Stegostoma tigrinum: one gene and its partners. The protein of the gene in region 1 purifies or fractionates together with the protein of each later gene. This does not show direct contact. Links are inferred from orthologs where the notes say so. Each region holds a gene or a part of one and is shown in the gene's direction. Other genes may lie near its edges. The genes, in order: pomk, lrp6, ghitm and tmem59.

The links.
Region 2: the proteins of pomk (region 1) and lrp6 purify together in Homo sapiens (affinity purification with mass spectrometry; 3 studies listed by BioGRID and IntAct, counting the BioPlex papers as one, with this or other methods). This does not show direct contact. The link is inferred for Stegostoma tigrinum from reciprocal best matches to the Homo sapiens genes POMK and LRP6.
Region 3: the proteins of pomk (region 1) and ghitm purify together in Homo sapiens (affinity purification with mass spectrometry; 3 studies listed by BioGRID and IntAct, counting the BioPlex papers as one, with this or other methods). This does not show direct contact. The link is inferred for Stegostoma tigrinum from reciprocal best matches to the Homo sapiens genes POMK and GHITM.
Region 4: the proteins of pomk (region 1) and tmem59 purify together in Homo sapiens (affinity purification with mass spectrometry; 3 studies listed by BioGRID and IntAct, with this or other methods). This does not show direct contact. The link is inferred for Stegostoma tigrinum from reciprocal best matches to the Homo sapiens genes POMK and TMEM59.

Annotation. Positions count from the first base shown.
Region 1 is NC_081354.1:14,842,996-14,849,926, reverse strand, and holds the start of pomk (protein O-mannose kinase), read left to right. Parts: upstream 1-3,924; 5' UTR 3,925-5,292; intron 5,293-6,550; 5' UTR 6,551-6,569; coding exon 6,570-6,857; exon of another isoform or gene 6,858-6,899; intron 6,900-6,931. Other genes in the region: fnta (protein farnesyltransferase/geranylgeranyltransferase type-1 subunit alpha), read left to right, coding at 131-283. UniProt on the Homo sapiens protein: Protein O-mannose kinase that specifically mediates phosphorylation at the 6-position of an O-mannose of the trisaccharide (N-acetylgalactosamine (GalNAc)-beta-1,3-N-acetylglucosamine (GlcNAc)-beta-1,4-mannose) to generate phosphorylated O-mannosyl trisaccharide (N-acetylgalactosamine-beta-1,3-N-acetylglucosamine-beta-1,4-(phosphate-6-)mannose).
Region 2 is NC_081371.1:27,847,818-27,855,452, forward strand, and holds the start of lrp6 (low-density lipoprotein receptor-related protein 6), read left to right. Parts: upstream 1-4,627; 5' UTR 4,628-4,815; coding exon 4,816-4,870; intron 4,871-7,635. UniProt on the Homo sapiens protein: Component of the Wnt-Fzd-LRP5-LRP6 complex that triggers beta-catenin signaling through inducing aggregation of receptor-ligand complexes into ribosome-sized signalosomes.
Region 3 is NC_081390.1:4,683,582-4,691,178, forward strand, and holds the start of ghitm (growth hormone-inducible transmembrane protein), read left to right. Parts: upstream 1-4,596; 5' UTR 4,597-4,708; intron 4,709-7,597. UniProt on the Homo sapiens protein: Plays an important role in maintenance of mitochondrial morphology and in mediating either calcium or potassium/proton antiport. Mediates proton-dependent calcium efflux from mitochondrion.
Region 4 is NC_081361.1:41,411,655-41,418,897, forward strand, and holds the start of tmem59 (transmembrane protein 59), read left to right. Parts: upstream 1-4,229; 5' UTR 4,230-4,268; coding exon 4,269-4,457; intron 4,458-7,243. Other genes in the region: tceanc2 (transcription elongation factor A N-terminal and central domain-containing protein 2), read right to left, coding at 77-218, 3,843-3,932.

The DNA of each region.
Region 1 (6,931 bases):
TTCTGTGTTAAAGGCCCTGCATTAATAAAGGTTATTGAAATGAGTTTGGGAAGTTAAGATTTAATGAATTTGGGGAGGAAATGGATAAAATTTTATTTTTTTTAAATCTTCTGATTCTGATTTCTTTCAGCTGTGTGAGTGTCTTGCTGTAAAAAAGGACACTATCCGGCAGGAGTACTGGAGATACTTTGCAAGATGCCTGAAAGAGAAGTATGGTGTTAAGCAGGAAGATACTGAACCTACGGAAAGTGAAGCACCCCTTCAGGAAGGCTGCAATAACTGAAAACTATTTCTGTAGTTTGTATCTCCTAGTTAAAAGGGCAAAAAGTGGTTGTTTTTTTCACATTCCTCTTTAATTTTCTTAACATCAATCTACACCGCACCCTTGTGCATGTAAATGTGTAAAAACATAACATTTTGTACGTGTATATATATTGAAGCACAAAGCTAAGGAATAAACAGCAACTCTACAACAATGTTATTATCACGTTTTTGCCTTTAATCCACACTTATAAACTAAATACAAAGCAAGAGAACATAATTGTTACTAAATCAGCTTTATTTAGGGGGATATTGGAACTTATTTAAAATTACTTTTTTTAGTTGTCACAACTGCAGTGAAATATTCACAAAGCTACAGTGTTGTACAGATTTTACTGTCCGTCAATAAAATCTTGTGAAGTGATGTGTTTTCTCTCATGTCATTTACATTTAAAAACAATACATGAAACAAAAACAATAAAGAACTGCAGATGCTGGAAAGCAGAAACAGAATCAGAAATTGCTGGAAAAACTCAGCAGATCTGTGCAGAGAAAGCAGAGTTAATGTTTTGCATCCAGTGACGCTTCTTCAGAATCAAAGTCCTTTGGACTGTTCTGAAGGGTCACTGGACCTGATATGTTAACTCTGCTTTCACTCCTCAGATGTTGTCAGACCTGCTGAGTTTTTCCAGTAATTTCTGATTTTGAATGCATGAAGCTATTTGATTTAAATCATTCACTAATTAAAAAGGCAGTATTAATTAGTGACTGCATTGCCGTTTGGGTCAGAAAGTGTTGTGTGAAATTCAAATCATCAAGTACGTTGAAGGCAGAAGCCCTCTGCATAGTGATCACAGTAACTCCAGCTTACATTTATGTAGTATGTTTAGTGATCATCTGACATCCCAAAGCATTTCACAGTGTAGTCATCTTTGTGACATAGGGAAGGTAACAGTCAATTTCCACTCTGCAATGTCCCATAAAAAGCAATAAAATGACCAGACACTTTTTTTGTTTTGTGAATTTTATTGAGGGACAAATGTTGACTGAGTCATTGGGGATAACACTTCTGATAGAGTCATAGAGATGTACAGCACGGAAACAGACCCTTCAGTCCAACTCATCCATGCCAACCAGATATTCTAAATTAATCCAGTCCCATTTGCCAGCATTTGGCCCATATCCCTCTAAACCTTTCCTATTCACGTATCCATCAAAATGCCTTTTAAATGTTGTAATTATACCAGTGCCCATCACTTCCTCTGGCAGTTCATTCCATACTTGCACTACCCTCTGTGTGAAAAAGTTGTCCCTGTTAAATCTTGCTCCTCTTACCTTAAACTTATACCCTCTGGGTTTGGACTCCCCACCCTGAGTAAAAGGCTATTTACACTATCCATGCCCTGTCATGATTTTATAAATATCCATAACGTCATCCCTCAGCCTCTGATGCGCCACTGAAAATTGCCCCAGCCTATTCAGCCTCTCCCTAGAGGTCCAACCCTGGCAACATCCTTGTAAAGATTTTCTGAACCCTAATGGAATCTTCTGTCTACCCAGGCAGACAGATGGAGCCTCTGTTTAATGTATCTTCTGAGAGGCAGCACCTCCAAAAGCACAGTACTCACTCAGTACTGCAATGAGTGTTGGCCCTATGTTTTGTGTTGATGGAGCTCCTGAATTTAACAGTATTGCTGCATCTTCAAAAGGCAGGCAGAGTTTTACTGACCTATACATACATGCAACATGTAGCAAACAGCAGTTGCAGTTGCTTCTAGGTCTAAGAGATGACAAGGAAATGGAGCACAAGCTGCAGAGGGGGAAACTCTTTTAAAGCCCCATCAAACAGAACTGCATACCTCCCTGCTCCTTAGCAGTGACAAGAGGCTGACAGCACTCTCATCAACATTCCCTCGTGTTTGTCCTACCTCATCCGAAAACCCTGCAACAGAATCTATCCAAGTTCTCCCTTCAGTGAGTTCCCACACAAACTATCCTCTTATTTGGTGATAGCCTCACTTAAGCCCGTTGACTTAACATGCAGATTCCAACTTTGTGTGGGCACCTGAAGTACATTCAGTACTAATATCTGAACTGGTGGCAGAGATAAAGATAAGTAAAGTGGCAGAGCCCATTCACTTTTGGACTGTAGTTGATGACAGCTGTTGTGTGAATGAAAGCAGAAAACCAGTGGAGTGAGGGGAGAGGGCTCAGTTGGAAAGGAAGAAGTTTGTGACTACACCACCTGAAGCTCCAGAAAGCAGCATAAAGTCAAGCTGCTAATTCAGAAGGGAGGACAATTTCAGAATCTTAGAAGAATCAAGTTGCTAAAAGAGGTCATTCAGCCCATTGTGCCTTCACTGAGATGTTAGATGAGCCCTTAGTCTCAATGACACAGGATGATACAAGCTCCACTCCAGCAAATCCCATGATGTACTGGATCATGTCTGTAGTGCACAGGACATGTCAGGTATCCTTAGTAGCTGTTGATTCAGTTCTGCTTCTTTTTTCACGTATATGGCATTGTCCTGTATGAATGAGGGCAGAACATCAGTAATTGTCTTGCAGTGTTTGGATCTGGACAGCTGGACAGGAGAAGCTGGATGTGAATTGGACAATTGCAGTTTGTGTGAAAGCTCCTTCTTCTTTCTCTTTTGATATTTTCAGCTTCCTTGTATCATGACGGGTATGGATAGGATGGATAGCCAAGGTCTTTTCGCTAGGAATGCCACAACTAGAAGGCATAAGTTTAAGGTGAGGGGGAAAGATTACAAAGGGATCTGAGGAATAATATTTTTCACACAGAGGAACAAGCTGCCAGAAATGGTGGAGACTGGTACAATTACAACATTTAAAAGACATCTGGATGGGTATATGAACAGGAAGGGTTTTAGGTATATGGGCCAAACACTGGTAAATGGGACTAGGTCAGATTGGGATGTATGGTTGGCACAGACAAGTTAGACCGAAGGGTCTAGTTACACTCTGAATGGCTCTGACTCTAAATGCACCTCACAATTCTATTGCTAATAGCTGCCTCTATCTCAATTTTCCCTCTCAATAAAACTCATATCTGCCCAAATTTTGATCATCAGACATTCCTGGACAGGTCAAAAGAAAACTCATCTGATGCTTTTTTCATTCTTCTATATCTTTTATTTGTTACTTTGTTTCTCATTATTTGATCAACACTGCAGTCAATCTAGTTCTAATTGTTCCTTACTCCTAAGCAGCTCTTACCTGTTGATTCTCATTACACCATTGCAGCTGAAATGAGGACTTATGGCAAAAGACACTAATGCATTCTTTCCTTGCTTTTCCAGAATGGTTTGTTCTCCCTATCCACCTGTCCTCCATTGTCTTTTTTCCCTTTGATAATCTAGGTGCTTGATTTCACAGAAATGGTCCTGATTTAGCACACCATCACCTCTCACATTTTCTCAAAATATTTACAGCATGTGACTTTATTTCTGTGGAGCTCAACAGCTCATTAAAATCCAATTTAATGTGCCGCCTTGGATCTTTCTGACTGCTTATCTGGGTTTATGTCTGCATGGCCTGGAGATTGCCTTTTTCAGTTGTGCCTCTGTTTATGTCTGGGTTTGTATCTGTATCTACGTCTCCCTCTGGATTATTGTCTTTCTGCCCAAGTGCGTCCATCTGCCTCTTTCATTCGCTATGCTTAGGTTTGAGTCTTTTTGTCTGACTCAGGAATGGTGTCTGGGTTTGTGTGTCTCTTTCTCAGACTTGTCTCTAATAGGCTTGTATCTCTCTGGTCCCTATCTTCACGTCATGTTCCTTGAATGAGTCGATGCCTGGTCTTGTCTATGTAATTCACTGTGCCTCTCTCAGTTTGTGACTGTAATTCTGTTTTTCTCATTATGTTTTAGTTCTGTTCTCACTGGCTTGGAATTGAATTGCACTGCCTCCCTGTTAGGCTTGTGTTTATTATTTTGTATGTGTGTATGTGGTTGGGGCTGTGTCTCTCACTGGTTCAGTCCGTGTCTTTGCCTGATTCTATCCCTTAGTGCCTGGGTTTTATCACTGACTTGTTCTCAGTCAGGGTTTGGGGTTTCCAATTTCTCTCTCTCTGCTAGGCTTGTGTTTGTCTTTATTCCTCTCTCTCAGGCTTGCGTCTATCCTGTTCTCTCTCTGTGTTAGGCATGTATCTGTCTTTATTTTCTCTCTGTTAGTCTTGTATCTATCTTATTGTGTGTATCAGCCTTGTATCTGTCTTATTCTGTGTGTGTTAGACTTGTATCTGTCTTATTTCCTCTGTGTGTATAGCCTTGTATCTGTCTTATTCTCTCTCTGTGTGTAGCCTTGTATCTGTTTTATTGTGTGTGTGTGTGTGTGTATTAGCCTTGTATCTTAGTCTCTCTATCTGTATAGCCTTGTATCTATCTTATTCTATATAGCCTTGTATCTGTTTTATTCTGTGTCTATAGCCTTGTACCTGTTTTATTCTGTGTGTGTGTGTGTGTGTGTGTGTATTAGCCTTGTATCTATCTTAGTCTCTCTCTCTGTATAGCCTTGTATCTATCTTATTCTATATAGCCTTGTATCTGTTTTATTGTGTGTGTGTGTGTATAGCCTTGTATCTGTTTTATTCTGTGTCTATAGCCTTGTATCTGTTTTATTCTGTGCGTGTGTTTGAGTTCGTCACTGGCTGCGGTGGACTCCGGGCGATGGTACAGCGCCTTGTCCGTGATCTTTAGGCGGGGACGGGTGCCGGTTAACGGGCGGAGGGGGCAGCTCTTCATCCCTGCTGCCGGTCTGTCTGCAGCGAGCGGGCCGGCTCGGGCTCGGGTTGCTCCTCCCAGACACACGGCGGGCTTGAGAGGCCGCTTCGGCTCCGGGAGAGGCTCGATCCGGCCTCGGTTCATCCTGTGTCAGACGGAGAAGACGGAACATTGAACATTAGACCCTGCAGGCCGACAACAGAGCGACCGAACAGTGGACTGAAGCAGCCCTGCCAACCCTCCCGGAATTAAAGGAGAACCTCCAGGTTCCTCATTAGGATAGATAGAGGTACTAATAAAACCGTGTTTGCTTTTCATATCATTTTTACACTTCAGATTATAGAAATACTGGGGGGAAGGTGGCAATTTTGCATGGGCAAAGCAAGTAAAGGTTGAAGGTCAAGGAATGTCTACCCAGAGTTGGCAACTGTACAACATGACCATTGTTCTTTGACATTTAATGGCATTGCCATTTCTGAATTCCTCACTATTAACATCCTTGGGGGTGGGGTGGGGGTGCTACCCCTGATCAGAAACAGAACTGGACCAATCATACAAATACAGTGGCTACAAGAGCAGGTCAGAGGCTTGGAGACTTGCAACAAGTAACTCACCTCTTGAGTCCGCAAAGCCTGTCCTCTATCTACAGGTACGAGTCAGGAGTGGAACACTCCCCACTTGCTTGGATGAGTGCAGTTTCAACAACATTCGGAAGTTTTACATCATCCAGAAACAAATGAGCCCACTTGACAGGTACCACATCCCCACTCTCAGCTTTCAGTAGCAGCAGTACGTGTCTTCTACAAGGTGCACTGCAGAAACCCACCGAGGTTCCAAACCCATGACCATTTCTACCAAGAAGGACAGGGGCAGCAGACAGATGGGAACATCATCACCTGTGAGCTCACCTCCAAACCGTTCATCGTCCTGACTCGGAAGTATATTACTGTTCCTTCAATGTTGCTGAATTAAAATCTTTAAACTCTCTCCTTAACTGCACTGTGGGTCTACCTACAGCAAATGGACTTCAATGGTCATGAAGGCAGCTGAGCACCACCTTCTCAAGGGCAAATAGGGATGGGAAATAAATAGTAACCCAGTCAGTGAAGCCAACATTTCATGCATAGTCCTTAATTAATGTTCATCTCTGAAACGTCCAATATAAAACTCTCCTTCCCGTTTAAAGAAAGATGCATTCACCACATGAATCTCATTAGTCTCTTCAGCACATTAATGTTGGAAGAAACCTTGTTCATATTTACATTTTGTGTAAAATACAATATACACATGAGTATATATACACCCGCTTTAAAAATGCATTCATCTGCAATGCAACGGTTCCAGTCACACACACACTCATCAAATTTCCTTCCCTCTGCAGCAATCAGCTAGGCTTCACATAGTCCTTTGGTACTCCCAACCTCCCCACCCAGTCAAGATCTGCCCATATATCCCCATTCAGGAGGGACATACATCATCATTCTTAGCCTTAGAGTAAGAAGCTATCATGGACTCACTCTTTTGCAATATGAATCATTTCTATACAGGTGACCAAGAATTTTGAAGATGCAGAGGGCAACGGTTGGTAACCACAGCCCTCCGATGCTACTGAGAGTGACGCTGGCTCTCATATCTCTTGTTGCGGCTCTGCTTTCAGTCACCACATTCTTCCGGATGGAACTCCTGCACCATTTGCCATGGACAAAGGGACCAGTAGACAATAGTTCAGATTCATGCTCGTATGGTCACTTCCGGCTGGGGGGAATGAAGGACTGCCTCTCCTGGTTGTCCTGCGAGGTGATTCAGAATGAGGTTACTGTGGTGAAGCTGATTGGTCGAGGTGCTGTGAAGCAGGTAAACTCTTCCCTCTCCAATCCTCGATTAAGACAGAAAGTTCTGAAAATATTCAGAAGGTTGGGCAGCATATG
Region 2 (7,635 bases), on another chromosome or scaffold:
CCAGAACAGGTATAACACTAACATCTACCCAGCCATGTGGAAAATTGACAGGTTTGTCCTATACACAAAGCAGGTCAAATCTGACCTAATCAATAACTGCCCCATCAGTCTATTCTCTGTTCTCAGTAAAGTTCTGGAAGTTGCCACCAACAGTGCTATCAAACACAATTTGCTGAGCAATAACGTGGTCACTTGTGATCAGTTCGGGTTCAGTCAGGGCTACTGAGCTTCTGGTTCAAGCATGGACAAAATAACTCAATTCTGGAGAGGAGGTGAGAGTGACTGCCTGTGGCATCACAGTCACATTTGATTTAGTGTGGCAGCAAGGATCCCTAGCAAAACTGGAGTCAATGGGAATCAAGGAGTAAATGAGTTGGAGTTATACCTGGCACAAAAGAAAATGTTTGTAGTTGTTGGAGGTTAGTCATCTCTGCTTCAGAACATCTCTGCAGGAATTCCTGTGTCTAGTTTCTTTGGCCTAACCATATTAACTGCTTCATCAATGACATTATCTCTATCATAAGTTAACAAGTGGGCACGTTCAGCACCAACACAGACTCCTCAGATACTGAAGTAGTCCATATCCAAATGCAGCAAGATGTGGAAATATCCAGGCTTGGACTAGATTAATTAGATTCCCTACAGTGTGGAAACAGGCCCTTTGGCCCAACAAGTCCACACTGCCCTTTGGAATATCCCACCCAGACCCATCCCCCTATAACCCACACACTACGGGCAATTTAGCGAGGCCGATCCACCTCACCTCACATCTTTGGACTCTGGGAGGAAACCCACACAAACACAGGGAGAATGTGCAAACTCCACACAGACAGTTGCCCGAGGCTGGAATTGAAGCCGGGTCCCTGGCACTATGAGGTTGCAGTGCTAACCACTGAGCCACTGTGCCGCCCCTAACAAATAGCAAGTAACATTTGTACAATTGCAATGTAATGATCATCACTATCGAGGGAAAATCTAGCCATCACTCCTTGACATTCAATGTTATTACCAATGCTGAATTACTCACTATCAACATTCTGGGTCTACCATTGACCAGAAACTGAATGGGATTAACCACATAAATACTGTGGCTACAAGAGCAGACCAGAGGCTAGGCATTCTGCAGTGTGTAAGTCAACTCCTGATTCTCCAAAGCCTGTCCATAATCCACAAGGCACAAGTCAGGAGTTGTGATGGAACTCTCCCAAGTTGCCTGGATGAGTGCAGTTCCAATAAGAAGCCTGACACCATCCACGAAAAAGCAGCTCGCTTAATTGGCAACTCAAATATTCACTCCCTCCACCACCAACGCTCAGCAGTAGAAGTGTGTACCATCTACAAAATGCACTGCAGAAATTTGCCAAAGACCCTTAGACAGGATTCTTCCAAACCCATGATCACTATCATATAGAAAGACAAGGGCAGCAGATACATGGCAAGACCACTACCCGCAGGTTCCCTTCCAAGTCACACACCATTCTGACTTGAAAAAATGTTACTTTCCTTCAATGTTGCTGGATCAAAATCCTGGAACTCCATCCCAACCAGCATTGTGGATGGACTTATGCCAAATGGATTTCAGCAGTTCAAGAAGGCATCTCACCATAAACTTCTCAGTGGATACTGGAGATGAACAATAAATGGTGACCCAGCCAATGAAGTCCACATCCCATGAATAAAAAATGCCTTCTTTCCAACTTTTTCACATTTAAACTGCAATGTGCCTACTCTGAACCCAAGTAGCTATGGACAGCCAGAAGGCCACCACCAGTCAGCTAAAATGTCCCCTGTCACCTCTATGGGCTTATGAGGCTGACTGCAAAATGCTAGTTGGCCACTGATACCAGGCTCCAGAAAGCCCTTAAATTAGCTCACTAGGTTATCTAACTCTTACAGATGAGTAGCCCAGCTCCCTCAACCTCCCTATTGTCACTCCTACCTTCTAAAAAATGGCCAGGATGGGATGGAGGCAGGTAATTGGTATACAGGCCAGTTTGTAGTTCCATGCCCGCCTGCCTTCAGTCCTGCCCTTAACAGTGTTGAAGAGTTTCTCACTGGACAGTTGCTACTAGAACTGCTGAGTATTTCCAGCATTTTCTGTATTCCTTATTACAGTTATGTGAATTTCTCATTGCAACCGAGTTTTGTGGAATTTATTGTCATACAAGTTACTTACTTAAGATTAAGATTATGATGTTGATATTTAACTGACACTAAATACCTAGCATACATTATTTTGGTAAATATTTTCAATGTAGCGCAAAAATGCTGTTAGCAAGTGAAATCCCATTGATGGTTGAAAATGCTTCACGTTTAGTACATTCTTTTCTGAAATGACTGCGATTTCTAATGCTCAATAAAAGCTTTGCGAACCAAGGGGGAAAAGGTGTACAGGGTAGGAAAGAGAGAGGAAAGAAAGAGGAATGAGACAAAACATAGAATGAGGTAAAGAGAAGTAAAGAGAGGTTAGGGGAGGTTGAATAGAAGGAAAATAGTGGTCATGGGAATGTCAAATGAGGTGGGCATGTAAAACATTGAACAGGGAGTACGGGAAAGGAGAAAGTGGAAGTAAGAACAAACATAAGGATTAGTGGGCAGAAGACAAACTTGAAGAGAGAGAGATGAGGTTGAGCAGGCATATTTTTTCAACTTCCTCCTGATAACTTGCAGATAGAGTTGGAATTCCCAGGTTCTCACCTCAATTGGTCTTACAGACATGTTTTTTTTGCTAGTGTGGAAACAGGCCACTCACCTCAACAAATCCACACCAACTATCTAAAGAGCACCCCATCCAGACTCACCACCTCACCCTACCCTATAACCCAGTATTCCCCCATAGCTAATCCACCTAATTTTACACATCCCTGGGCACTATGGGCAATTTAGTATGGCCTTAAACTGCACATGTTCAGACTGTGGAAGGAAATCCACAGACACAGGGAGAACATGCAAACTCCACACAGACTGTCACCCAAGGCTGGTATATGAACCCAGGTTCCTGGTACTCTGAGACAGCAGTACTAACCATTGAGGTACTGCCCCAAATCTGCAGCAATTTAGCTCTTACGTAATTTTCCATGCCTTCCCAAATTCCAGTCTGGTCTATAACATAACCTCCCAGACCCTCAACCTCCAAAACCAAGTCTGAATGTTGCAGACCTTAAAAAGCATCCTTACTTGCTCTGACGCTGAACAATTATCTCTTACTGTTTGTGGTAAATTACTTGGTTACAAAATACTATGACACCTGGTAATATCTAAAATAAAAATGTTTTCTCTGGCTGAGTTCACTAAAAATCGTATTCGCCTTGCCGTCTAAATTCGGTTTCTCTCTCCGCAGATACTGTCAGATCTGCTGACCACGACATGGTCCTCTTCCGTCTGGCTGACCTGAGCAACACTGCGGGGGGAGCTGCTTCATATTCCAAACCACCTAAACTTAATTTATTTTCGCTTCTTTCACAAAAACAAATGCGTATCATTTTGTTTGTTTTTCTTTCTTCACATACTTTTGTTTTAAGTGTTGAGCGGTGCCAACTCAAAAACAGAAATTGCTGCCGAAACTCAGCAGGTCCGGCATGATCTGTGAGGAGGAAGCAATGTTAACAATTGGAGTTCGGTGACTCTTGCTTCTGAGTTTCGCCGGCAATTTCTGTTTTTCTTTGAGATCTCCAGCATCCGCAGTTCTTTGTTTTATTTGAGCACTACATGCATTGATTTTCTGAGGCTGCTGATTTAACACGTAGTCCAGCACGGATGCAGAACCATCTCCAGTTTATGACCAAATGTATTCGTCGTCATGGTCTAGCTCTCTCATAGATAAACTCAGTAAGACATTTAAACTGAGTTTAATCATTTTTAATGCCAGAAACAAAAACGTGTGAAATGTTTTGGAATTGTTCGTTTTCTTTCATTGCTGACGGCAAGTTCTCGTTTTTCTTAAACCTATATGGATGGATAATTCGTGGAAGAGGTTCTTGGAATTCATATCACATTAAAACCTTTTAAAGAAAGGAAAGAAATAACAATTTTATCTAAAACGAATTTTATTTTACGCGTGTATATTTATTTGAGCGTGAAAAATCACTCTTCACAATGTTGTCGCAATTTCTCAACCAGAGCATCTTTGGAAGGATTTTTGACGGCGACATTTCAATGCAAAGATGTGATTTCCCGCTGCCCAGCCCACCCGCTCCTTCGATTTAATTGCAGTAATCTCTCTTTCATTAACGTGGGTAAAGACACCGTCCCCATCTCCCTAACACCGTCTCCTCGTTCCCACACCTCCTACACACACTACCTGAACGCGCAGCCATGTACAAAGGATACTTGATGCTCTAGTATTAAAAAAAAGTAGCGCCGCAGTCCAGGTCAAATGGTTATGTTGTTCTAAGGCAGAGCACCACTCTCTGCTGCAAAAGAAATCCCCGGGAAGGCTCGCTCCAAGCCTCGGTTAAGAAGATGCATGAGAGACTGAGCGGGGGAATATATCTTTTTACACACCCGGGAGGGGGCACATGGGGAGGAACAATGAACTAAAAAGGCTCTTTTCTTTCCCAGCGAGCTTGCCGTAAAGAAAATAGTACGCCGGGAGAGAAACAGGGCAAAGGAAAAGGGAGGGTGTTAGTGGCGGAGGGAGAGGAGGCGTGTGCTTGCGCCGACGGTGAGCGGAGATAGAGAGGCCACGGAACCATGGCTGGCGAGCGAGATACTTTGTAGCGCTGCCCAAAGTCACAGGAATTGTAACTATGTGTTTCAATGTGGCGCCACGTTGAGCTCTCTTTGACTGCCTAGAAGGGGGGGGGGAGGGGAAACATGGGTACCGCGCTGAGGAGTTTGCTGTTGTGCAGCGTTTGCTCTTTGATAAGGGGTGAGTAAAAGTTAAAAGATTGGTTGGCCCTCTCTCTTGGTTTTATTAAAAAAAGGAGGCTGAGTGAGAACGGTCTTGCATGTTACTGTGAGGGGCCCGCGAGGGGGCTGATGGTGTGTGTGTGTGTTTCGTTGGGGGGGGGGGTTGGCTGTCTACGGGGGCAGAAGGGAAAGGTGAAGGGGCTTTCTCTGCCCCGGTTTACATGCATTGCCATTTATATTGGAAGGCGAATGGTTCAACTATAAACTCTAACGTCGTTCAACGCTTTTAGCTGCTGGAATGGTTTTGTGTGTGTGTGTGTGTGATAGAGAGCCGGCCGTGAGGTGGAATGAATGCCGCGATTTCTCTCTCTCTCTCACTCAGGAGTGCTGCCACTTTGTGCGGGGGAAATGCTTGGCAAAACACAGCGCAGGGTGCTCAATGGGGAGGAACGGGTCTGCTGGAACTTTTTCTGCAATGCTTTTAAGCATCTGCTTACCATCTTTTGGTTGTTTATGGAGCACTAAAAGCCGATCGAAGTGTTCCCGAACAAACAGACGGACGGATCCGATCTGTCCATTCGAAATCTTAATTCATTTGTAAGAGCAGTTTAGTTTTGTTTTAGGAAGGGCCTGCTTGTAAGAGCAAATAAAAGAATTTCGGCTGTGCACTCGGGTTGCTTTAAATACGTTTTACAACTTTTCTGGAGACATATTTCTTTACCGTATTCTATTTTATTCATAATAGCTGATCAGAAAGAGCTTTCTTTAAAATCACATTCTCTACAGGGCTACAGATCAGATTTCAAATTTAATTATTTTATTAAACAATAACTGACACCTTTTTTCAGTCCTGCATTCGTTGAACACGTTAGTTCTAGGCAAATGCAACAGGTAGTCCTGTAAAACATACGTGAATTAAGTCATTGTCGACAAAAGCAGGAAAGATATCTTTCGGGGGCTAACAAATCGTTCATGGGTAATTCGAGTGCAGCCTTGTATCTGGTTACACATATACCACAGACAAATTACTTTATTAATAGTGCAATTCCAAATTTCACATGTTCACATTCTGGATTGCAACTTTGAGGAACCCTGACAGGTAGGTACTAGTTAATTTGCAATTAGATTAATATAACTAATCTTGGAAGGTGAAAGAACTTGCGTTATTTTTTAGAAAAAGGTAATTTTTAAATACATGTTGCCTACATGACAGATTAAGTGAAAGAAGCTTTAAATATTTTGTCACGAATAAAGACAGAAATTGTTGGAAAATCTCAGCAGGTCTGGCAGCATCTGTGGAGAGAAATCAATTAACCTTTCAGGTCCAGAGACCCTTCCTCACAGCCTTCTGTTTTTCTTTCTGATTTCCAGCTTCTGCAGGTTTGTTTTTTTTTAAAGAATATTTTGTATATACTTCAAAACAAGTTCAATGCAGTACATATAATCCTAGGAGAAACTGCTAGGTGTTGAATATGAAATAGTGTACAAGTTTATATGCCTGATCGTAATTGCAGGCATATTAATAATAACAGATGTTTAGAATCCAAGTGGTTAATTGGTAAAATTCCCCTCACCTTTACCCATGTGATTTGTTTTGCATGTAAGTTGTCAATGCACAGAATCACCTGATGCTCTCAAAATTGACTCCATATTTTTCATGGCGAGGTGTGGTGGGGGTCATATTTGTGTAAAAATTGAGTTATTTTTCTCATTATTGTGCAGTTCCATTAGTTAGTTGGAACGGGGAGTCTGGTGAAGGACTTGACCTTATTGCCTTTTGTATTGATTCCAAACATTCTGGGATGTCAATTTGAAATGTGCAATACCTTCGACATCTCAAAGAGCTTATTTCCGTGAGGATTACTGTTGAAGTAATTTAGTTTTAGTTGGTATGTCGTCATAAAGGTATTGGGCAGTCTGTGATTACATTGCTGCAATTTAATTCACACCAGGTATCCATGATGTTTATAATTCTGTTTATCCAGAGTAGTAATGTAATCTTAAGTATACAGCCATTCTGGAATTGTAATTTTGTATTTTATAGTCATAATCCTGTAAAGTTGCACTGAAAATACAATATCTTAGGAGCAGGAAAGCTGATGTTTCGGTCTTGACCCGAAACGTCAGCCTTCCTGCTCCTCTGATGCTGCTTGGCCTGCTGTGTTCATCCAGCTCCACACCTTGTTATCTCGGATTCTCCAGCATCTGCAGTTCCTATTATCTCTGAAAATGCCATGTTTGCCACTTTGGAATATGTTAAATCTGAAAATTTATTTGTAGTAATCTCTAATTTGACGCAGGTTTTTTAAAATTAAATTTCACTGTTTCTGCTTTTCAATAACAATTCATTCAAGATTCCCTACAGCACTGAAATATTGAAAGCAACAAGACTGTTTCAATTCAACTGAATTAAATAGAGTTGGGGGGGAATAAGGTGGGGAATTTAAAGCCTAAAGCACTGTTTAGGTTAATTATGCCATAGTTCCAGTTAATGGAACTGATGTATTTCTCATTCCATTATTTTAATCAAATACATCCTTTGTATTCAGATAGTTTCTAACATTTTGGAATATCATATTTAGAACCGTGTAAGTCAGTTTTCGAGCTACTACCTGTGCAAATGTACTGAGACAGTTTGGAAATCTCTGACCAGTCTTTATTTTGGGCAAGAATTTCCAGTTTGCACTTGTGCAGTGGCATGAGCACTCATCTACCAATTGCTGAAGTCATTTTGACAGTTTTACAGTTTTGTAAGATATAACTTGCAGTTTAGAAAGAAGCATG
Region 3 (7,597 bases), on another chromosome or scaffold:
AGGGGAGGTGAAGGTTGGGGGATGGGGTGAGGGTGAGGGGCAGAGTGGAGATGGATTCAGGTTGGAGCGGGTGAAGATTGGGGGATGGGATGGGGTGAGGGTCAGAGTGGAGATGGATTCAGGTTGGGGAGGTGAAGATTGGGGGATGGGGTGAGGGTGAGGGTCAGAGTGCAGATGGATTCAGGTTGGGCGGGGTGAAGATTGGGGGATGGGATGGGGTGAGGGTCAGAGTGGAGATGGATTCAGGTTGGGGAGGTGAAGATTGGGGGATGGGGTGAGGTTGAGGGTCAGAGTGGAGATGGATTCAGGTTGGGCGGGGTGAAGATTGGGGGATGGGATGGGGTGAGGGTGAGGGTCAGAGTGGAGATGGATTCAGGTTGGGGAGGTGAAGATTGGGGGATGGGGTGAGGGTGAGGGTCAGAGTGGAGATGGATTCAGGTTGGGCGGGGTGAAGATTGGGGGATGGGATTGGGTGAGGGTCAGAGTGGAGATGGATTCAGGTCGGGGAGGTGAAGATTGGGGGATGGGGTGAGGGTGAGGGTCAGAGTGGAGATGGATTCAGGTTGTGCGGGGAGAAGATTGGGGGATGGGATGCGGTGAGGGTGAGGGTCAGAGTGGAGATGGATTTAGGTTGGGCGGGGTGAAGATTGGCGGATGGGATGGGAGAGGGTCAGAGTGGAGATGGATTCAGGTTGGGGGGGGTGAATATTGGGGGTTGGGATGGGGTGACGGTGAGGGTCAGAGTGGACATGGATTCAGGTTGGAGGGGGTGAAGATTGGGGGATGGGATGGGGTGAGGGTGAGGGTCAGAGTGGACATGGATTCAGGTTGGAGGAGGTGAAGATTGGGGGATGGGATGGGGTCAGGGTCAGAGTGGAGATGGATTCAGGTTGGGTGGGGTGAAGATTGGGGGATGGGATGGGGTGAAGGTGAGGGTCAGAGTGGAGATGCATTCAGGTTGGAGGGGAGGTGAAGGTTGGGGGATGGGGTGAGGGTGAGGGGCAGAGTGGAGATGGATTCAGGTTGGAGCGGGTGAAGATTGGGGGATGGGATGGGGTGAGGGTCAGAGTGGAGATGGATTCAGGTTGGGGAGGTGAAGATTGGGGGATGGGGTGAGGGTGAGGGTCAGAGTGGAGATGGATTCAGGTTGGGCGGGGTGAAGATTGGGGGATGGGATGGGGTGAGGGTCAGAGTGGAGATGGATTCAGGTTGGGGAGGTGAAGATTGGGGGATGGGGTGAGGTTGAGGGTCAGAGTGGAGATGGATTCAGGTTGGGCGGGGTGAAGATTGGGGGATGGGATGGGGTGAGGGTGAGGGTCAGAGTGGAGATGGATTCAGGTTGGGGAGGTGAAGATTGGGGGATGGGGTGAGGGTGAGGGTCAGAGTGGAGATGGATTCAGGTTGGGCGGGGTGAAGATTGGGGGATGGGATTGGGTGAGGGTCAGAGTGGAGATGGATTCAGGTCGGGGAGGTGAAGATTGGGGGATGGGGTGAGGGTGAGGGTCAGAGTGGAGATGGATTCAGGTTGGGCGGGGTGAAGATTGGGGGATGGGATGCGGTGAGGGTGAGGGTCAGAGTGGAGATGGATTCAGGTTGGGGAGGTGAAGATTGGGGGATGCGGTGAGGGTGAGGGTCAGAGTGGAGATGGATTCAGGTTGGGCGGGGTGAAGATTGGGGGTTGGGATGGGGTGAGGTTCAGAGTGGAGATGGATTCAGGTTGGGCGGGGTGAAGATTGGGGGTTGGGATGGGGTGAGGGTCAGAGTGGAGATGGATTCAGGTTGGAGGAGGTGAAGATTGGGAGTTGGGATGGGGTGAGGGTCAGAGTGGGGATGGATTCAGGTTGGGTGGGGTGAAGATTGGGGGATGGGATGGGGTGAAGGTGAGGGTCAGAGTGGAGATGGATTCAGGTTGGAGGGGAGGTGAAGGTTGGGGGATGGGGTGAGGGTGAGGGACAGAGTGGAGGTGGATTCAGGTTGGAGGGGATGAAGATTGGGGGATGGGGTGAGGGTGAGGGTCGGAGTGGAGATGGATTCAGTTTGGGCGGGGTGAAGATTGGGGGATGGGATGGGGTGAGGGTCAGAGTGGAGATGGATTCAGGTTGGGCGGGGTGAAGATTGGGGGATGGGATGGGGTGAGGGTAAGGGTCAGAGTGGAGATGGATTCAGGTTGGAGGGGATGAAGATTGGGGGATGGGGTGAGGGTGAGGGTCAGAGTGGAGATGGATTCAGGTTGTGCGGGGTGAAGATTAGCGGATGGGATGGGGTGAGGGTGAGGGTCAGAGTGGAGATGGATTCAGGTTGGGGAGGTGAAGATTGGGGTATGGGGTGAGGGTGAGGGTCAAAGTGGACATGGATTCAGGTTGGAGGGGATGAAGATTGGGGGTTGGGATGGGGTGAGGGTGAGGGTCAGAGTGGAGATGGATTCAGGTTGGGCGGGGTGAAGATTGGGGATGGGGTGAGGGTGAGGGTCAGAGTGGAGATGGATTCAGGTTGGGGAGGTGAAGATTGGGGGATGGGGTGAGGGTGAGGGTCAGAGTGGAGATGGATTCAGGTTGGGGAGGTGAAGATTGGGGGTTGGGATGGGGTGAGGGTGAGGGTCAGAGTGGAGATGGATTCAGGTTGGGGGGGTGAAGATTGGGGGATGGGATGGGGTGAGGGTCAGAGTGGAGATGGATTCAGGTTGGGCGGGGTGAAGATTGGGGGTTGGGATGGGGTGAGGGTCAGAGTGGAGATGGATTCAGGTTGGAGGAGGTGAAGATTGGGAGTTGGGATGGGGTGAGGGTCAGAGTGGAGATGGATTCAGGTTGGGTGGGGTGAAGATTGGGGGATGGGATGGGGTGAAGGTGAGGGTCAGAGTGGAGATGGATTCAGGTTGGAGGGGAGGTGAAGGTTGGGGGATGGGGTGAGGGTGAGGGTCGGAGTGGAGATGGATTCAGGTTGGGCGGGGTGAAGATTGGGGGATGGGATGGGGTGAGGGTCAGAGTGGAGATGGATTCAGGTTGGGCGGGGTGAAGATTGGGGGATGGGATGGGGTGAGGGTAAGGGTCAGAGTGGAGATGGATTCAGGTTGGAGGGGATGAAGATTGGGGGATGGGGTGAGGGTGAGGGTCAGAGTGGAGATGGATTCAGGTTGTGCGGGGTGAAGATTGGGGGATGGGATGGGGTGAGGGTGAGGGTCAGAGTGGAGATGGATTTAGGTTGGGCGGGGTGAAGATTGGCGGATGGGATGGGGTGAGGGTCAGAGTGGAGATGGGATTCAGGTTGGGGGGGTGAATATTGGGGGTTGGGATGGGGTGACGGTGAGGGTCAGAGTGGACATGGATTCAGGTTGGAGGGGGTGAAGATTGGGGGATGGGATGGGGTGAGGGTGAGGGTCAGAGTGGACATGGATTCAGGTTGGAGGGGTGAAGATTGGGGGATGGGATGGGGTGAGGGTCAGAGTGGAGATGGATTCAGGTTGGGGGGGTGAATATTGGGGGTTGGGATGGGGTGAGGGTGAGGGTCAGAGTGGACATGGATTCAGGTTGGGGGGGTGAATATTGGGGGATGGGGTGAGGGTGAGGGTCAGAGTGGAGATGGATTCAGGTTGTGCGGGGTGAAGATTGGGGGATGGGATGGGGTGAGGGTGAGGGTCAGAGTGGAGATGGATTTAGGTTGGGCGGGGTGAAGATTGGCGGATGGGGTGAGGGTGAGGGTCAGAGTGGACATGGATTCAGGTTGGGGGGGTGAATATTGGGGGATGGGATGGGGTGAGGGTGAGGGTCAGAGTGGACATGGATTCAGGTTGGAGGGGGTGAAGATTGGGGGATGGGATGGGGTGAGGGTCAGAGTGGAGATGGATTCACGTTGGGCGGGGTGAAGATTGGGGGATGGGGTGAGGGTGAGGGTCAGAGTGGACATGGATTCAGGTTGGGGGGGGTGAATATTGGGGGTTGGGATGGGGTGAGGGTGAGTGTCAGAGTGGACATGGATTCAGGTTGGGGAGGTGAAGATTGGGGGTTGGGATGGGGTGAGGGTGAGGGTCAGATTGGACATGGATTCAGGTTGGGGGGGTGAATATTGGGGGTTGGGATGGGGTGAGGGTGAGGGTCAGAGTGGACATGGATTCAGGTTGGGGAGGTGAAGATTGGGGGTTGGGATGGGGTGAGGGTGAGGGTCAGAGTGGACATGGATTCAGGTTGGAGGGGGTGAAGATTGGGGGATGGGATGGGGTGAGGGTCCGAGTGGAGATGGATTCAGGTTGGGCGGGGTGAAGATTGGGGGATGGGGTGAGGGTGAGGGTCAGAGTGGACATGGATTCAGGTTGGGGAGGTGAAGATTGGGGGTTGGGATGGGGTGAGGGTGAGGGTCAGAGTGGACATGGATTCAGGTTGGAGGGGATGAAGATTGGGGGTTGGGATGGGGTGAGGGTGAGGGTCAGAGTGGAGATGGATTCAGGTTGGGGGGCGGTGTTTGGGGTATCCAGGGCACGGGGTAATCACTCCCCAGCCCCTGTTGCCCAGGAAACTCTAAGGCCCAATCATTGGTGGTCGCTGAAGACGCTCGCCGCTTCACCAATCAGAACAAAGACAGCGATGCACGTGACGTACGCTCGCGCTCCCCACGGCATTCTCGGCCTTGTAGTGCCGCCACGGCGCATGCGTCTACCCCCTGGAGAAGGTTCCGGAAAGAAGCCGACAGTGAGTGCGCAGCAACTGGAGCCGGAGAGGTGAGGGACCGTTCCCCCCGCAACTGGGATAGGGCCCGGCTCAGCGAGAATCCAAACCCCCCCCCCCCCCCCCCCCCCGGCGGGGAACGAGACACACGTGGTGAGAGACGTTGTTAACCCTCCTACCACCGGAATGAGAGACATAATCTCCCCACCCCCCCCCCCCCGGGGTGTGAGAGTTTATCTGTCCCCACCCCCACCCCACCTCCCCCCGGGGTGAGAGAGGTTGTTTCTCCCCACACCACCCACCCCCCAAGCCTGCCTTCCCCCGGGGTGCGAGAGGTTGTCTGTCCCCACCCCCCAGCCTGCCTCCCCCCTCAGGGTGAGAGTGATTATTTCCCCGCCACCCGGGGTGATAGACGTTATTCTCCCCCATTCCCCATGCCCCTGAAGAGATTATGCTTGGGTTCCTACACAGAGGAACAGAGTTGTGGTTTCTGAGCCAGAGCTGTTTGACTGTTAATGTCATACCTACTGTTCATCCGTCTGAAATCGCAATACAGGGTAGATCCACTAATATCTCTTGTGAACTTGATGAAGATTGTACTTGTTATCTCACAATTCCCTCCCGTCTGTTTTTTGGATTTGGCTTCTCATTTTCTGTGCTGCTTCTAATCCTTTGCTCATGGGATGGCAGGATTGTAATTGTGTGAGGCAGTTGACTGTCTGTATTGCACCATGTGATTATTGTTCAGATCTCAACTGTGAATGCTATGAGTTAGAATCAAACTAGGTATCTATTGCCCCACGTTTTTGTGTTAATGTTATCTTGACTTGAAAATGAAAACTGAATAACCTTCAGTTTCTCCTCTTAATGCTATTGTACTGTTTATCCTAACCTGGAAGCAAGTGTTTTGACCAGCCTGCTCCTGCCCCACCGAACTCATCTCCACCTATCTGGACTCCATTTTCTCCCTTTTGGTCCAGGAACTCCCCACCTACGTCCGTGACACCACCCACGCCCTCCACCTCCTCCAGGACTTCCAATTCCCTGGCCCCCAACACCTCATATTCACCATGGACGTCCAGTCCCTATACACCTGCATTCCGCATGCAGATGGCCTCAAGGCCCTCCGCTTCTTCCTGTCCCGCAGGCCCAACCAGTCCCCCTCCACCGACACTCTCATCCGCCTAGCTGAACTCGTCCTCACCCTCAACAACTTCTCTTATGACTCCTCCCACTTCCTACAGACTAAGGGGGTGGCCATGGGCCCCAGCTATGCCTGCCTCTCTGTTGGTTACGTGGAACAGTCCCTCTTCCGCACCTACACAGGCCCCAAACCCCACCTCTTTCTCCGGTACATTGATGACTGTATCGGCGCCGCCTCTTGCTCCCCAGAGGAGCTCGAACAGTTCATCCACTTCACCAACACCTTCCACCCCAACCTTCAGTTCACCTGGGCCATCTCCAGCACATCCCTCACCTTCCTGGACCTCTCAGTCTCCATCTCAGGCAACCAGCTTGTAACTGATGTCCATTTCAAGCCCACCGACTCCCACAGCTACCTAGAATACACCTCCTCCCACCCACCGTCCTGCAAAAATTCCATCCCCTATTCCCAATTCCTCCGCCGCATCTGCTCCCACGATAAGACATTCCACTCCCGCACATCCCAGATGTCCAAGTTCTTTAAGGACCGCAACTTTCCCCCCCACAGTGATCGAGAACGCCCTTGACCGCGTCTCCCGTATTTCCCGCAACACATCCCTCACACCCCGCCCCCGCCACAACCACCCTAAGAGGATCCCCCTCGTTCTCACACACCACCCTATCAACCTCCGGATACAACGCATCATCCTCCGACACTTTCGCCATTTACAATCCGACCCCACCACCCAAGACATTTTTCCATCCCCACCCCTGCCTGCTCTCCGGAGAGACCACTCTCTCCGTGACTCCCTTGTTCGCTCCACACTGCCCTCCAACCCCACCACACCCGGAACCTTCCCCTGCAACAGCAGGAAATGCTACACTTGCCCCCACGCCACCTCCCTCACCCCTATCCCAGGCCCCAAGATGACATTCCACATTAAGCAGAGGTTCACCTGTACATCTGTCAATGTGGTATACTGCATCCACTGTACCCGGTGCGGCTTCCTCTACATTGGGGGAACCAAGCGGAGGCTTGGAGACCGCTTCGCAGAACACCTCCGCTCAGTTCGCAACAAACAACTGCACCTCCCAGTCGCAAACCATTTCCACTCCCCCTCCCATTCTCTAGATGACATGTCCATCATGGGCCTCCTGCACTGCCACAACGATGCCACCCGAAGGTTGCAGGAACATCAACTCATATTCCGCCTGGGAACCCTGCAGCCTAATGGTATCAATGTGGACTTCACCAGTTTCAAAATCTCCCCTCCCCTACTGCATCCCTAAACCAGCCCAGTTCGTCCCCTCCCCCCACTGCACCACACAACCAGCCCAGCTCTTCCCCTCCACCCACTGCATCCCAAAACCAGTCCAACCTGTCTCTGCCTCCCTAACCGGTTCTTCCTCTCACCTTATCCCTTCCTCCCACCCCAAGCCGCACCCCCATCTACCTACTAACCTCATCCCACCGCCTTGACCTGTCTGTCTTCCCTGGACTGACCTATCCCCTCCCTACCTATACTCTCCTCCCCACCTATCATCTTTTCTCTCCATCTTCGGTCCGCCTCCCCCTCTCTCCCTATTTGTTCCAGAACCCTCACCCCATCCCCCTCTCTGATGAAGGGTCTAGGCCCGAAACGTCAGCTTTTGTGCACCTGAGATGCTGCTGGGCCTGCTGTGTTCATCCAGCCTCACATTTTATTATCTTGGATTCTCTAGCATCTGCAGTTCCCATTATCACCTATACATCCTTACACCCTGCTTCCTGTAAAGACTCTATTCCATTTTCCCAGTTC
Region 4 (7,243 bases), on another chromosome or scaffold:
ATATCATAATTTTAAAAGTTTGTCAGATGTCAAATTACAATCTTGAAAGTAAGAACTGTGCAGTTATAATCTTCACCTATTTTAGTTGACAGCAATACTTCTTGTGAAGGTATTTTCTTCTTTAATTCATTTAATGCTTCCATTAAGTTTTCCTTTGTTTGATTAGGCAGTTCCAAAATAGACTTACATCTCTTAATATCTTCAATCACCACAACTCTCTGTTTGGAGAATAAAAACAATAGTCATCACCCAAAAACTATTTCAGCAAAAAATATCAAAATCATGTAATACGTCTGTAGTGTTTAAGGTTTAGGAGGAAATCAAACATATTTTGCATTGTAAAGCCATGGACATTAAGAATTAAAATTGCAAAAAATGTAAACACTGACAAAAATGCAGATCATCCAAAGTTATAGACATGATTTAAGGATAGTATGTATATTTGTTATGATGATCCCAAAAACTTGACATTTTAAAGTGACAAATTCCTCAAAATATGCAATAATAAGATAACTTTTACTGTAACAAAAGTAGAAGCGACAGAATTCAACCTTAACCACTAGATAAATGGTACATCAGCTAAGCAAGGGTAAATATCTTTAATTTTAACTACACATTATATTTGGTCAGATGCCAAAACTTTGGTAAGAGTTAAATTTTAAAACGTACATTAAAAGGATGAAACAAATAGAGACCTTAAAGGAGAGAATGTCAGTGTTTAGAGCTCAGGTAGTTGAAAGCACAATTGTTGGTCGAGTAATTAAAATTGAACACCCACAAGAGACAAGAATTAGATATGCAGACATCTTGGTGGGCTGAGAGGCTAGCAGAGATTAGAGAAATGGCAAAGACAGATGTCAAAGAGCGAGTGAGGAATTTTAAAATTGAAGAAGTATATTTAGCAGGAGCCAAAGTAAGTCAGTTAGCAGAGAGCATGGCCAACAGAGTCTTGGCTGACCTCAGATTTACAGAGGGTAGAACCTGGAGTTTGTCCAGGGTGGCATCGGGATGGTCAAAATTAAAAGATAATTCAGACATAGGCAAGATTTTCGGCAGCAGATGAGCTTGGCCAGCAGCAGTGTTGGGGGCAATTTTCACCATCACGAGGTCTGCTTTGTCCAGAGATGGATACATTGTTCACTGGGATAGTAGGAACTGCAGATGGTGGAGAATATGAGACAACAAGGTGCAGAGCGGATTGAACACAGCAGGCCACGCAGCAGAGGAATAGGAAAGCTGACGTTTCGGGCCTAGACCCTTCTTCAGAAATGGGGAAGAGATGGGGTATTCTGAAATAAAGAGGAAGAGATGGGGAGGCGGACAGAAGATGGATAAAGGAGACGATAGGTGGAAAGACGACAGACAGGTCAAGGAGGTGAGGTTGGAGCCAGGAAAGGTGAGGGTAGGTGGGGAGTTAGGGAGGGGATAGGTCAGTCCAGGGAGGACTCACAAGTTGAAGGGGTGGGATGAATCTAGTAGTTAGGAGATGGGGGTGGGGCTTGAGGTGGGAGGAGTGGACAGTGGAAGGACAAGTTAGGGAGGCGCATACGAGCTGGGTTGGTTTTGGGATGCAGTCGAGGGAGGGGAGATTTTGAAGCTTGTGAAGTCCACATTGATACCGTTGGGCTGCAGGGTTCCAAAGCAAAATATGCGGTGCTGTTCCTGCAACCTTTCGGTGGCATCTCTGTGGCACTGCAGGAGGCCCAGGATGGACATGTTGTCCAAGGAGTAGGAGGGTGAGTTGAAATAGTTCACAGAAGTGCAGTTGTTTGGTGCGAACCGAATGTTGGTGTTCTACAAAACGGTCCCCAAGCTCTGCTTGGTATCCCCAATGTAGAGGAGGCTGCAACGGGAACAGCAGATACAGTACACCACATTAGCAGATGTGCAGGTGAACATCTGTTTGATGTGGAAGATCTTCTTATGGCCTGGGATGGGGGTGGGGGGGGGGGGGGGGGGGGGAGTGATTTCCTGCGGTTGCAGGGAAATGTGCCGGGGTGGTGGGGAGCGTGGAGCAGACAAGGCAGTCATAGAGAGAGTGGTCCCTCCGGAAAGTAGATAAGTGTGGGGAGGGAAAAATGTCTTTGGTGGTGGGGTCCAGTTAGATCTGGAGGTTGGTGGGGTGGTACGTGAGGACATGGGGGACTCTGTTTTGGTTATTGTTGTGGTGAGGAGGTGTGAGGGATGAGTTATGGGAAATGCGAGCGACGCGGTCGAGGGCGTTTTCGACCACTGTGGAGGGGGAAGTTGCGGTCCTTGAAAAATGAAGATGTCTGGGAGTGGAATGCCTCATCTCGGGAGCAGATGCGGTGGAGGCAAAGGATTTGGGAATAGGAAACTGCCTTTATGCTGGAAGGTAGGTCAGAGGAGGTGTACTCTAGGTAGCTGTGGGAGTTGGTAGGCTTGAACTGGATGTCGGTTTCCAGGTCATTGCCAGAGATAGAAATAAAGGGGTCCGGAAAGGGGAGAGAGATATATTGGAGATGGTCCAGGTGAACTTAAGGTTCATAGAGTCTTTCCATAATTTTTACCATTTTTTCCCCCATTTGCCCTCACCTCATACCATCCAACACTCACATTCTCTTCCTACCTCTTCTTTCTTAGAAGTTTCCCCATATCACTTTTTGGTCCTTTTCCTCTCGAAACGTGCCTCCCCAAATTCTCTACCTTTTCCTAATTAAGTTCATCAAAAGAAATTCTTCATCATGTTATTTTCTGTCTTTTTGAATTCTCCCCCAAATTCATATTTCAAAGCTATTTAATCCTCTCCTTCTGTAAAGTCAATGTAATTGGCATAAAAATAGGCTGTCCTACTGTACACACAGAGTCAGGATCTTATCATGGGATGAAAAACTACATTAAATTTGCAAAAGTCAGATTTAGCCTCAGGCAGGTATCTGGAAGAGGGTTGGGTTCAGCAGCAAGGTGATGGAGCAGAGTAATAGGGAAGCTGACCTTCAAGAACAGCAGAGCTAGTGGCAGGTGATTCTCTGGCTGTGGTTCGATAGACAAGAACATAACCAAGTGAAGGTAATCCTACCGATCCAGCTGAGTTAAGAAGCATGAGGGGAGGATGGTGCAGCTGATGATGTCAAAGTTGGGGAGAATCTGATAAAGATAAGGAAGGAAGTTCGCCCTTTGTCGATCACAAAGGATGTCATTTTGTCATGCATCAAAGGCAGAAACTTGAACAGAAGAATTCAAACATGGAATTCCATGAAAAGCAGGTATGGATTTGGGGATGAGAACCATTCAAGCACTTTCAGGAGGGAACAAAGGGAGGGTGGAGCTGGGTAGTTTGCCAGGGCATTCTGCACACTGTGGAAAACGGATTAACATAAAATAAAACAAAAGAGCTGCAGTTGTTGGAAATCTGAAACAAAAACAGAAACTGGCGGAGAAACTCAGAGGTCTGACAAAACCTGTGCAGAGAAAGCAGAGTCAAGTTTCGGGTCCAGTGTGATTTCTTCAGAATTTCAGACTGGAGCCGAAAAAACGTCAACTCTGTTTCTCTCTCCACAGATGCTGCCAGACCTGCTGAGTTTCTCTGCCAATTTTGTTTTCTTTCGCGTGTGATGGAAAAGACACTGATCTGCGACTCTCTAATAAAATCTCTCCCATCTCCAGCCTTTCCTTGATTCTGAAAAACATGCCCGTAACGGGGGAATATTTAACTGAGCACCAACAGCCTTCTCCTGCCGCGACACAATAAACTGCAGCTGAGGGTCAGCAGGCAACGGGGAGGGCAGCTCGCAAGAAAAACCTGCACTTAAAAATAAAAGCATCCGGCCTTACAATTTAACCCAAGTAACTCGACGGTGCCAGAGAAGCCAGGACTCTACCTTTAAAGACTCGAGAGTGACCTGGCGATAAACCTTAGCTGGGTGCAGCGCTAGGCTCAGATCCCGGCCCTTCCTCACAAAGCGATCCATTAGCAACGACCACCTCCTCTCCCCAGCGTCCTCGCCCGGTGCATGCTGGGAGTCGCATGCTTAAAAATCCAGGGGAAAAAACTACATATCCCAGCATCCCCTACGCAGACAATTTCCGGCGATGATTTTGAAGTTAAAAAAATTTAGAGAAGGAATTATCTATAAATAACACAAAGTCCAAAAGCAAGCCTTGGCTTTGTAGTTCGGCTCTATCTCGGTTAAATGAGGGTCATACAAATTTCAAAAACAAAGAGCGGACAATAAGAGTTGAGGTCACTGAGGGTGGTTGGAGGGCGTGTGTGCGTTGTGGGTTGGATCACAACAAACAGACTGAAGATGGCGGAGGTAGCGGGACAGCTCCATTGTAGAGCTTCTGTCGTTAGCCTTCTACTGTGCTTGGGGTTTGCTTTGTCTTCCTTCTCTACCCCGTCGCTGGCTTCCGATGCTTTCGAAGCGGTTTTAGGTGACACGGCGTCGTGTCAGAGAAGCTGCGAGATGACTTACAGCCTGCATACTTACCCGAAGGTAAGGCTGCCCGGTTGGCCAGGGGTAGAGACAGGCCTGTGTTTAGCCTAAGAAGGCTGTTTCTTTGTTAATACTTCTGTTAGTCCCCTTGGGTTTATTTTCGCGCCAAGGAATGCTTGTGTGATCCAGATGGTTGAAATCTGCAATTTATTTGTTCGAACATTTGAACTGAGTTGGCGAGCCCTTTTTGGGGATGGGGGTTTCGAACGAGGTTGTTAGTTGCACAGAGAAGTAATTAACTCTGAACGATCGAAAAGTTGCACTACTCGAGAGGAACCGGAATATGTTTTTTTTCGTTGCTCGAAAGCTGGCAGTGAAGTCTTTCTATAAAACGTTCACGTGACATCGTTTATTTTTACCCCTTGCTCTGGCCTTTTGACAGTAGCTTTGTGGCCGTCGTTTACATGATAACGCACATCGAATACATTCCAGTGTGTGTGAATATAACCGCTGCTGTCTCCATTTATTCGTCATTTGCACTGTTGTATTTTTTTGTGTGAAACTCATTTAATGACCAATTCAAACAGACAGTAGAAACTGCCGATGCTGGGTTACTGAAGAAAGTTCTAGACTCCAAACGTCAGCTTTCCTGCTCCTCGGCCTGTCGTGTTCATCCAGCTCTAAACTTTGTTGTCAATGTTCAATTCATGACACGATTTATCTCCCTTTAATTAACCAACATCGTGTACGGGCCGTTTTTTTTATCTGAAACAAATGAGTTTATTTGGTTTGGAGTTTTGAAATTGTCAAAAAAAATTAGAAACCAGGGCTCAGCCATTCTTTGCCTTGTACAGTATTGATCCGGGGTTCAGTCACCACTTTGTCATGCCTGCAGCAGGAGTCAGAAGTTTTGCATTGTGAGGTATCTCAGTGGGTGCCTGAATTAGATAGTCTTGTAAGTATGGAGTTTGAGAGCTGTTTTGGCCTAATAAAATAAACATATCCTAATGTAATGTGTTGAGTGTGTGGTATGGCAACTGCTCTGCCCAGGACTGCAAGAAACTACAGAAGGTGTTGTGCACAGCCCAGAACTTCACCGAAGCCAACCTTCCTTTCATGGACTCCACTTATGTGGCTTGCTGCTGCAGAAAGGCTGCCAACATCATCAAAGACCCATTGCACCCCAGTGATGATCTCCTCCAATTTCTTCTGTCAGGCTGAAGATGCAGAAGCCTAAACACAAGTAGGTTTAGGAAGAGCTTCTTCCCAGCAGTTATCAGACTGAATGGATTTTGTAGCCTCAAATACTTCTGATCTTGCTAATGTTGATCTCTCCTAGCACATGCTCTGTGCAATGTAATTTGTATACCTCCTAGGTCTTTTTGGTCTATACATATTTTGCGCACTGTGGTCTGTCTGTACTACTTGTAAGCAAAGCTTTTCACTCTTTATTGTCACATGTGCCAAAATAGCTATCAATCAATTATTTAAGTTACTGTATGATTTGTGATTTGGTTACATTTAACCATCACACTTTGCATATATTGAGTTGGCCTGTGCCTAACCTCCTCCTGAATTTAGGAATTAGATTTCATTCCAATGAGTGACTCACCATGCTGGCCAGGGAAATCTTTTATCTGTGAGGACTTCTCAGTAGCTTGGTTGGGAGACTTGAGTTGAAGGAAAGTGTTGAATTTAAGTTTGTCATGCTCCTGGTTGAGTTTGGGGAGGTAACATGTGGCATGATCATGGTTAAGTAAGCATCTGACATTCACTGCCCAGGTTTAATTGGCTCTAAGGTGGTGATAGTCATGAGCTTATGCCTTGAACCATTGTCAGGGCTCAGTTATGGTGGTAGTGTCCCAACCCATGAGCCCAGGGACCTAAGTTGAAGTTTCACCTACCCCAGAGATGTGAACAGATCTCTGAACAGATTGAAGAAAAATAGATTGAACCATTGCAGTCCATGGGAATGTTTTGGGATATTCAGATTGCTGTTAAGAAGAGAGTTTCAAGCTTTTACCCCAGCAACATGGAAGAACCGTCATTTTTCCAAGACCAGGAAGGTTAATTTGGAAGGGAACTTGCAGATGGTGGTGGTCTTGTGCATCTACTGCCCTGGGCCCCCCTCGTGTGATACGAGCACAGCTGGCACAAGTGAAGTATTTTAAATATTTTGGGTGTTTTTAAGGAACATGTTGAAACTTTGTGGTTTTGAAAAATCAAGTGTAACTTCTGTCACTGCTGTCATTGTGATGTCACTTGAGATTAAGGTGACAGGTCAGATCATATTAGAATTTTCTGAAAAGGTTTTTTTGAAAACTTCAATTGCAAGTACACGGACTATTGGCTGCAGCCAAGACAGCAAACCCTTTCTGGCTTCAAAATAGTTCTGTTAAGAAATTTAAGGACCAAATTTATTACTACATGCTGACTTACTTTCCTGCAGTGCTTTTTAAAAAAAAAATGTAAGATGCATATTGCATTCGTTCTGTTGGCTTTGATCTGAGACCTGATTTTTTTTTAAAAAAAAAAACCTGCTGTTGTCCGTTTCATCATTTCTGGCAAGTGCAGAGCATCCCTCACTACACCACTTAATTCTCAACAAAGAGTAATTTTTCTTTTCCCCTAGATATTTGGCTGGCTTTTCTGTCTGGGAGAAAAAAATAACTTTTAAAAGTTGAACAAATGACTGGAACTCTTTTTCAATAAGGCAATGAAATTTTCCTTCAATCATACAAAAAAGACTGTTGCTTATGTCACACCTGAGCTATAAATGTCAGTGTGATCAAGTCAAACAGTATTTTTGAACTTTTGTGTGTGGTAGTTAAACTTTTAATCAGGCA